Linked DNA regions of Danio rerio. The protein of the gene in region 1 purifies or fractionates together with the protein of each later gene. This does not show direct contact. Links are inferred from orthologs where the notes say so. Each region holds a gene or a part of one and is shown in the gene's direction. Other genes may lie near its edges. The genes, in order: kif5aa and klc1a.

Region 1 (3,832 bases):
AAGGAAGGGATTAACGTGTTTACTGTTTTACATGTAGAGCGCCGCCTCTGTTACCTCATAAGGAAAATTCATTGTGATGTGTGGGAAGAAGAAGCCAGTGCACGAGGGCTGGTTGAATGTCTTTGCGCTCATTTTTGTTCTGTTTTTCACAGACAATAAATCACCAAAAGATCAAAGTTGATAAGTGTTCACACAACGCAGAAGAGGCGCAAAAGACTAGTTACATTGGTGCCGTGACCCGGATGAGAGTTATGTTTAGGGGGGTGAATGTAACAGAGGCCAGCAAGTAAGTGCTGGCCATGGTCTTTAGCCTCCTTGTTAGAGCAACCGACTCCCATACAAAGAGTTGCTGGTTCGATCTCAGTTCGGAGCGGGTTGGGTGGTGTAGGACCGGCGGGGTTACATTGGTGCCGTGACCCGGATGGAAGTGAGGCGGAGGCCAGATAGTAAGTGCTATGCAGGTAAACCTCACTCCTCTGACCTCTAAAGGTGCTCTAGCGACAGATGCTAGAGACCACGATCTTCAGCCTCCTTGTTAGAGCAACCGACGCCCATGGGGAAGGTCACTGGTTCGATACCAGCTCAGAGCGGGATGGGTGCAGTAGGACCGGCGGGGTTACACATGACCGAAAAAAGCATATGAATATGGATGAAAACATTCACTGACGGTCAAGATGATTCAAAATACCCAGAGTAGTCTGTGTCAGTAGTTTCAGCAGCTGTTATCTGAGAATAACCATACATTGGAATGTCACAACTGATCAGAATCAAGTATTCCAGACAGCCGTGTAGTAAATAAATCATTCAAAAATAGGATAGTTGAAGTAAGACGTGCTATTTTTCACACTAGTCTTACAAGTGTTGGAGGCATCACAGTATCCTGTAAGATGTTACTGGTGTAGCTAGTGCTGGCATTGCAGTGGAAAAGCAAATCACTGCACTGAACTGCATCAAGCTGTGTCATTCAGGGGAAAAGCATCGAATGTTGTGTCCTCACCGCTTTCTTACCTTTCTAGGCCAACCTGATGGAGCTGGAGGCGGAGCTAGCGCAGATGCAGGAAGTGAGCTCACAGCAGAGGAAGCGCATCGCTGACGTGTTGAACGGCCTGATGAAGGATCTCAGCGAGTTCAGCAGCATCGTCGGAAACGGAGAACTCAAGCTAGTAAGACCAGAGAGCACATTCCCTTTAGGTTTATTTTCATCTGCTCATAGCTGATCGATGAGCTAAACAGGCTATCTGTCTCTAATAGAGGCAGTGTGAGCAAAAATCCTGGTTTGAGTCATTTTATGCAGTGATTTATTTTAAGATATAGTTACTTACATAAAATAAAAAGGGTTATAATAACTATAACCCAGAATAAACCCTGACAGGTTTATCAGCAGCTGCTGTAAAGACTGAAGGGGTTATTCTGTGATAACAACCGCCTGCGTGTACTTTATCCTGCTTATTACACAGCTACTGACCACAAAACAGAAACGTTAGACACAAAGCATTGTTCTGAGCCATACTAGTTCATTAATTCTTTAAAGACGAAGCTGACAGACATGAAATGGCTGAATGGTGCATACGCTAACCTGCACATTATTCAGTCTCTAGGTGGCGCCAGACAGACAGTCAGAAACAGCAGCGAGACAGACACGCATGTAAATATATATGTAGACGTATTCACTGACGGTCAAGATGACTCATTAGTTTCAGCAGTGGTTATCTGAGAATAACATGTATAATGTAGCAACTGACCAATCAGAATCAAGCAAATACAGCCAATGCAAACTGACTGTGTGACGTCCTGAGTCCACTGATGAGCTGATGCACAGTAGCGTCAGTTGCAGAAGTGTGTGTGTTTATGGTGACAGTAATCTGTGTGTGTGTGTAGCCGGTGGAGATCAGCGGTGCGATTGAGGAGGAGTTCACCGTGGCACGTCTCTACATCAGCAAGATTAAATCTGAGGTGAAGTCGATGGTGAAGCGCTGCCGGCAGCTGGAGAACATGCAGCTGGAGTGCCATCGCAAGATGGAGGAGACCAGCCGGGAGCTGTCGTCATGCCAACTGCTCATCTCACAGGTGTGTGTGTGTGTGTGTATAATTCATGACTATGCGAAGATTTTAGGCTGTTATTGAGTGTATTTACTTGATGTAAATGTGTGTGAATCTACATTTATCCAGTTTTATTTTCATTTCAAAAATCAATCTGCATATTTTTACCACATTCTGCACAGAAATAGCACAAATGTAGACAGATTCTGTCTGGCTCTGGGTATGACAGTGTTGTTACAACATTGAGGTGGTTTATGAGGACATGTCTTGTGTCCTCTAATTCAAAAGGCTTAATAATCCAATCGATGGGGTCTTTTCACATCCAGAGTCTGCCACAGGTTTGCTGTGAGGGCTGGGTTTAGGGGTAGGGGAACACTGGTTTTTAATGTGAAAAAATACATTACCGGCATCACGGTGGCGCAGTGGGTGGCAGGATCACCTCACTGCAAGAAGGTCTCTGGTTTGAGTCTCGGCTGGGTCAGTTGGTGTTTCTGTGTGGAGTTTGCATGTTCTCCCCGTGTTGGCGTGGGTTTCCTCCGGGTGCTCCAGTTTCCCTCACAGTCCAAACACATGCGCTATAGGGGAACTGATCAACTACACTGGCCGTAGTGTATGAGTGTGGATGAGTGTGTATGGATATTTCCCAGTGATTGGTTGCAGCTGGAAGGGCATCCGCTCTGTAAAACATATGCTGGAAATGTTGGTGGTTCATTCTGCTGTGGCAACCTTTGATTAATAAAGGGACTAAGCCGAAAAGAAAATGAATGAATGAATGAATGAATGAATGAATGAATAAATGAGTTGACGGTTCATTCTGCAGTGGCAACCCCTGATTAATAAAGGCACTGAGCCGAAAAGAAAATGAATGAATGAATGAGTTGCCGGTTCATTCCGCTGTGGTGACCCCTGATTAATAAAGGGACTAAGCCGAAAAGAAAATGAATGTTTGAAATTACATTTCCCCCCTATGGAAAGTCCTCATAAATCACCAATACCAGTATAAGTAAGTGTGTGTGTGCCATATCGAGTAAATGTCAAATAAATGTGACTGTAGTCTATCCTGTTAACTTTGTGTCTTCATGTGTGTGTGTGTGTGTGTGTGTGTGTGTGTGCGTGCGTGTGTGCGTGCGTGCGTGTGTGTGTGTGCGCAGCATGAGGCAAAGATCCGTTCTCTCACAGAATACATGCAGAACGTGGAGCAGAAGAAGAGACAGCTGGAGGACAACTATGATGCTCTCAGTGAAGAACTCTACACACTGCAGAACTCTGGTGACACACACACACACACACACACACACACACACACACACACACACACACACTGCAGTTCATCACTCTTATGCTCTGGTCTTCAGACTCTTCTGCTTCTATCACAGATTTTGGTTTGAGTGAACTGAATAAGAGGACTGGATTCAACAAAGTCCAGCTCCAGCATTAGTCTCTTAGCAGATGAATGAGGAATACTGATATTGAATGTGCACTTTTAGAGGGATATACGTTAATACACACAAATACTTACACTGCTAGATTTCATTTTTACAGAGACAGTGATATGACATTTGTTTTGTAATGTGTCATATCTTTATGTGTCGTATGTGTGTCAAAAACAACTGAGCTGAAGTCAAGAGGACGTGTTTCAGATTCAGACTGAGCTCAGTTCTGCACTGCACGGCTCCATTAATGCATGTGTGTGTGTGTGTGTGTGTGTGTGTGTGTGTTTGTTTCTATCAGAGAGTCATGTGGCAGAGCTGGACGGAGGAGAGAAGGCGGACAGAGAGGCTGATGGGAAAGT
Region 2 (3,832 bases), on another chromosome or scaffold:
CGCAAATTTTATGCATTATGATTTTCTGGGTGGTTGAATTGGAGCAATACTTAAAATATCATAATGATTTTATTTTCCAACTAGTCACAATCCTTACTGTCGCTGATATTATTACTTGAAAATATAAAATGTCTTATTTATAAACTCTCTTTTAGAATTGGTCAGCTAACTGCATTTTAGAAAAGAAATTTCAGAATTGTAATAAATGTAAAAATTCAGATTTTTTTGTATGAAGTTTCAAGTTTACTAATTTCTTTGCATTATAGTATGTTAATGTTTGGCAGCATTTTTAATATTACAATAGTTCAATTGAATGTGGTTTAATGTATTCAGTTATCTGCTCATTATAGGGATATTTATGTTTATAGCAGATGTTGTTTATTGTAATTGCCAAAATTTCTATAAATTATATATACTATTTATACTATATTTTATATATTACATACCATACATTTCAACTTAATACTGATAATACTAACTTACAATTTATAAATACTAAATACAATTTATTGTGGTACGTTTGCAGTTTTCTGAATATTATGTTTATTTTGGTCTGCTATTAGCCCGTTTTACAATTTACACACCTTTACAACATATATCATCTATTTTTTGTTTCTCTCTCCACAATTCAATTCTATATGCACTGAAGTAATTAAATCAAAGGTTAATCAGAACACCTCTATAACACAGCATGGGTGAATGTTGTATGTGTATATGCATGTTAGACCGCAGAGTTGACCTTAATCAGATTTCCAGTCATTTAAATAATCATTTTGTAATCAGTGACTAATTGTTTATAAATGATTGGCTTTATAAATGATTTGATCTTTTGATTGTTTTATGTTATTAGACATTTTAGTAAATTTATGTGTAGAAATAAACATGCTTGTTCTTGTGTATGTGCAGGTGGCTGCCACACTGAACAATTTGGCTGTTCTTTATGGCAAACGAGGGAAGTACAAGGAAGCAGAGCCTCTGTGTAAAAGAGCCTTGGAAATCAGAGAGAAGGTGGGTCAGGTGTTAAACATACCTGTCGTGAGTGTGACTTAGTAATGAATTTAGTCTTTATTTCAAAATGGATTCTAATTTACAACCCCAAATCAACAAAGGTTGCGATGATATGGAAAACTTATCAAAAACATACAAAAGCTGCTGGCACACCAACTACCGCCGCTGCAGTAATACGAACGGCGGCAAAGGTAACATATTGAAGTAGTGACATCTTTTATTACAATTCCCTGTTGACATCGCCTGTTTCAAATCGCATCATTATTTAACCAATTTACATGATTACTAGCCCCAATCTGCTCCTGTCGCAACTCTTTTTGAAATGTGTTTCAGGTCTGAATGACAGGAAAAGATGTATATTTACAGATAAAAATGAATTTGACCATATTAAACATGAACTAATTTGTGTTCATATTGTATGCAATGAAATACAAGTCAAAGTAAATTTTCAAATCACTACTTTCTTTTGTATTTGCCTTTTCCGTATATGTACACAGGGGATATACATTGAAACTGAAACTCTTGCCATTTTAATGTTAGAGGTTTCATTTCTAAATTTGATCATCCTTGTGCCTAAACATCATTAGCCGCATATCCACTGTCGGGCCAGTGTGAGCCAGGGTTTTCATCAGGCTGAAGTAGCCCAAGACTCAGAGAGTTTGAACAGTGAGGCCGAAATCATGTTGCGATTTCACTATTGGGTCAATAGCTCACAGCGTAAAATGCAAACCCCATTCCTAGATTGCTAGCTGATTGAAACTTCACACAACCTCCCCAGTTAAGCAGGAAGAAGAAAGTCAATGGCTGCGTCCGAAACTGCATACTTCCATACTATATGGTACACTAAAATCAGTATGTGAGTCGAGTAGTATGTCCGAATTCATAGAATTCGAAAATCAGTATGTGAGAAGTACCCGGATGACTTACTGCTTCCGGCGAGATTCTGGAGTGCGCATCCCATGCACGCTGCGGTATCCCATAATGCCCTGCGAGAGAATTCATGAATGGAAGTGAAGCGATGCAACTGACGCTGGTAGGTCATGTGACCATAACAAAATGCCGGATGTAAAACGTCCGAATTCCATTCATACTTTTCACATTCATACTTTATAGAACATACTTTTCTAACGGCCGAGTAGTACGTTTAAATTCAAATGCAATACCTACTGAGTAGTAGGCGGTTTTGGACGCTGCCAGTGTCATTGCACTCAGCTGCCATCTTTGAAACGCCAGTCGTGTAGTGTGCTCTGGCATTCTGTTTGAATGGGGAAACATCAAATTCTCCAAAATTGCATTCCAAGCTTATGATTAAATTTCATATTAACAATCACCAATAAACTTAAACAACAACTTTTAAGTTTAATTTCTAAACAACTTGAATCGCACAAAATCTGCAAAAACTCACGTCTGGTTCGAGCCCCTACCATGGAGAATCGTCTGTCTATTGCGATCGATGATTGGCTCCTGTACTAGAAGGCAGGGCTCTATTCGCCATATTGAATGTTACACTTACCTCATAAAAAACTATACGAGTGACATGTCTTGTGTTTTCTATGGTCTTTGCTCTTGGTATCGTGCATCGAGTGGTCTTAAAACTAACGGAGGGATGATGACCCAGTACACCATCTATAGGCTAATATAATACCACTGAATTTCTCTGGTAATAACTCGGTTTAAATCATATTTTAATACCTTCTCGTTTCGGTAGATGCCATCAAAAGGTTAATCCTAATTCTCCGGAGAGATCTAAAAACATTATTTTCATAGGCTATGTGACACTTAATAGGTAATTCCCCTTTATTTAAAAGAATAATTTAAGGATGTTGCATATTATTCGGTCATCTTAAGTAAAGGAAACCGTAGAGCAATAATAAAATATAGGCTAGCCTATATTGTTGTGTTCGCGTCACAGCAGCTATTTAAAATCTGCATCTGGTTTAAGAAAAAAAAGTATCATACATTTGACTAAAGTAATGTTAAATATTTCAGAACGACCCAAGCAAGATTTATTTGAAAAATTACGATTTAAAATATGAAATATCCTTCTTATAAAGCTCTACATTTAAAATTAGAATTTGAATGCAATTCGTTTATAAAGCAGTGTAGGACTGCATGACAGAAAAGAACAGGTAGTTTTTGATGTTTTTGCTCACCCAAAATATGCTCTGTTTGCCTAATTTGATTTATATCATCATATCTAAATATTTTATAAATAATATTTCAAGACTCCTCTGTTGTTTAGAAAATATCTAAAATCTAAAAAATATAAACTATTTTTCAGGTAGGCCTTTGTTAAATAAAGTTTAAAATGGCTTAAAACTGTATAATATAATTTATAATTTATTTTTATTACACATGCCTAAATTGTTAGTGCTATTGTTTGTTTTATTCATTCATTCATTCATTTTTTTTAAATGTACTACACGACAGCACTACCTACTGCGCCACTGCTTCGCCCTGTTTGTTTTATATTGGTTTATTTATTTAAAAAAATTTTATATATCCGATAATTGTAATACTTTAAATGATTTCAATAGCTTAGGCTATTTTATCTATATCTAATATGACATAAATAGATTACAGTGGCCAATAAGCAGCAAGTGTGAACATGATTAGTGCATCTTTGCATAGTTAAAGCAGTTCAGTGAACTGCTTAATGTTTGTTTAAACAACATTTAAAAAGTATATTTCAGTTTAAAGGCTGGATTCTCATTCCTGCAGCCCCAATGGTATGCATTACAATCCATACTGTAAGAGCTAACCTCTCCAAACAACTGAATAACCTGGTAATATACTCTCTGTTGGTGGTTTACACTGCAGCCGT

The links.
Region 2: the proteins of kif5aa (region 1) and klc1a purify together in Homo sapiens (co-immunoprecipitation; 7 studies listed by BioGRID and IntAct, counting the BioPlex papers as one, with this or other methods). This does not show direct contact. The link is inferred for Danio rerio from reciprocal best matches to the Homo sapiens genes KIF5A and KLC1.

The regions. Positions count from the first base shown.
Region 1 is NC_133184.1:232,193-236,024, reverse strand, and holds part of kif5aa (kinesin family member 5Aa), read left to right. Parts: exon of another isoform or gene 1-706; intron 707-1,016; coding exon 1,017-1,163; intron 1,164-1,878; coding exon 1,879-2,067; intron 2,068-3,191; coding exon 3,192-3,309; intron 3,310-3,697; exon of another isoform or gene 3,698-3,771; coding exon 3,772-3,830; intron 3,831-3,832. UniProt on the Homo sapiens protein: Microtubule-dependent motor required for slow axonal transport of neurofilament proteins (NFH, NFM and NFL). Can induce formation of neurite-like membrane protrusions in non-neuronal cells in a ZFYVE27-dependent manner.
Region 2 is NC_133188.1:17,848,247-17,852,078, forward strand, and holds part of klc1a (kinesin light chain 1), read left to right. Parts: intron 1-906; coding exon 907-1,008; intron 1,009-3,832. UniProt on the Homo sapiens protein: Kinesin is a microtubule-associated force-producing protein that may play a role in organelle transport. The light chain may function in coupling of cargo to the heavy chain or in the modulation of its ATPase activity.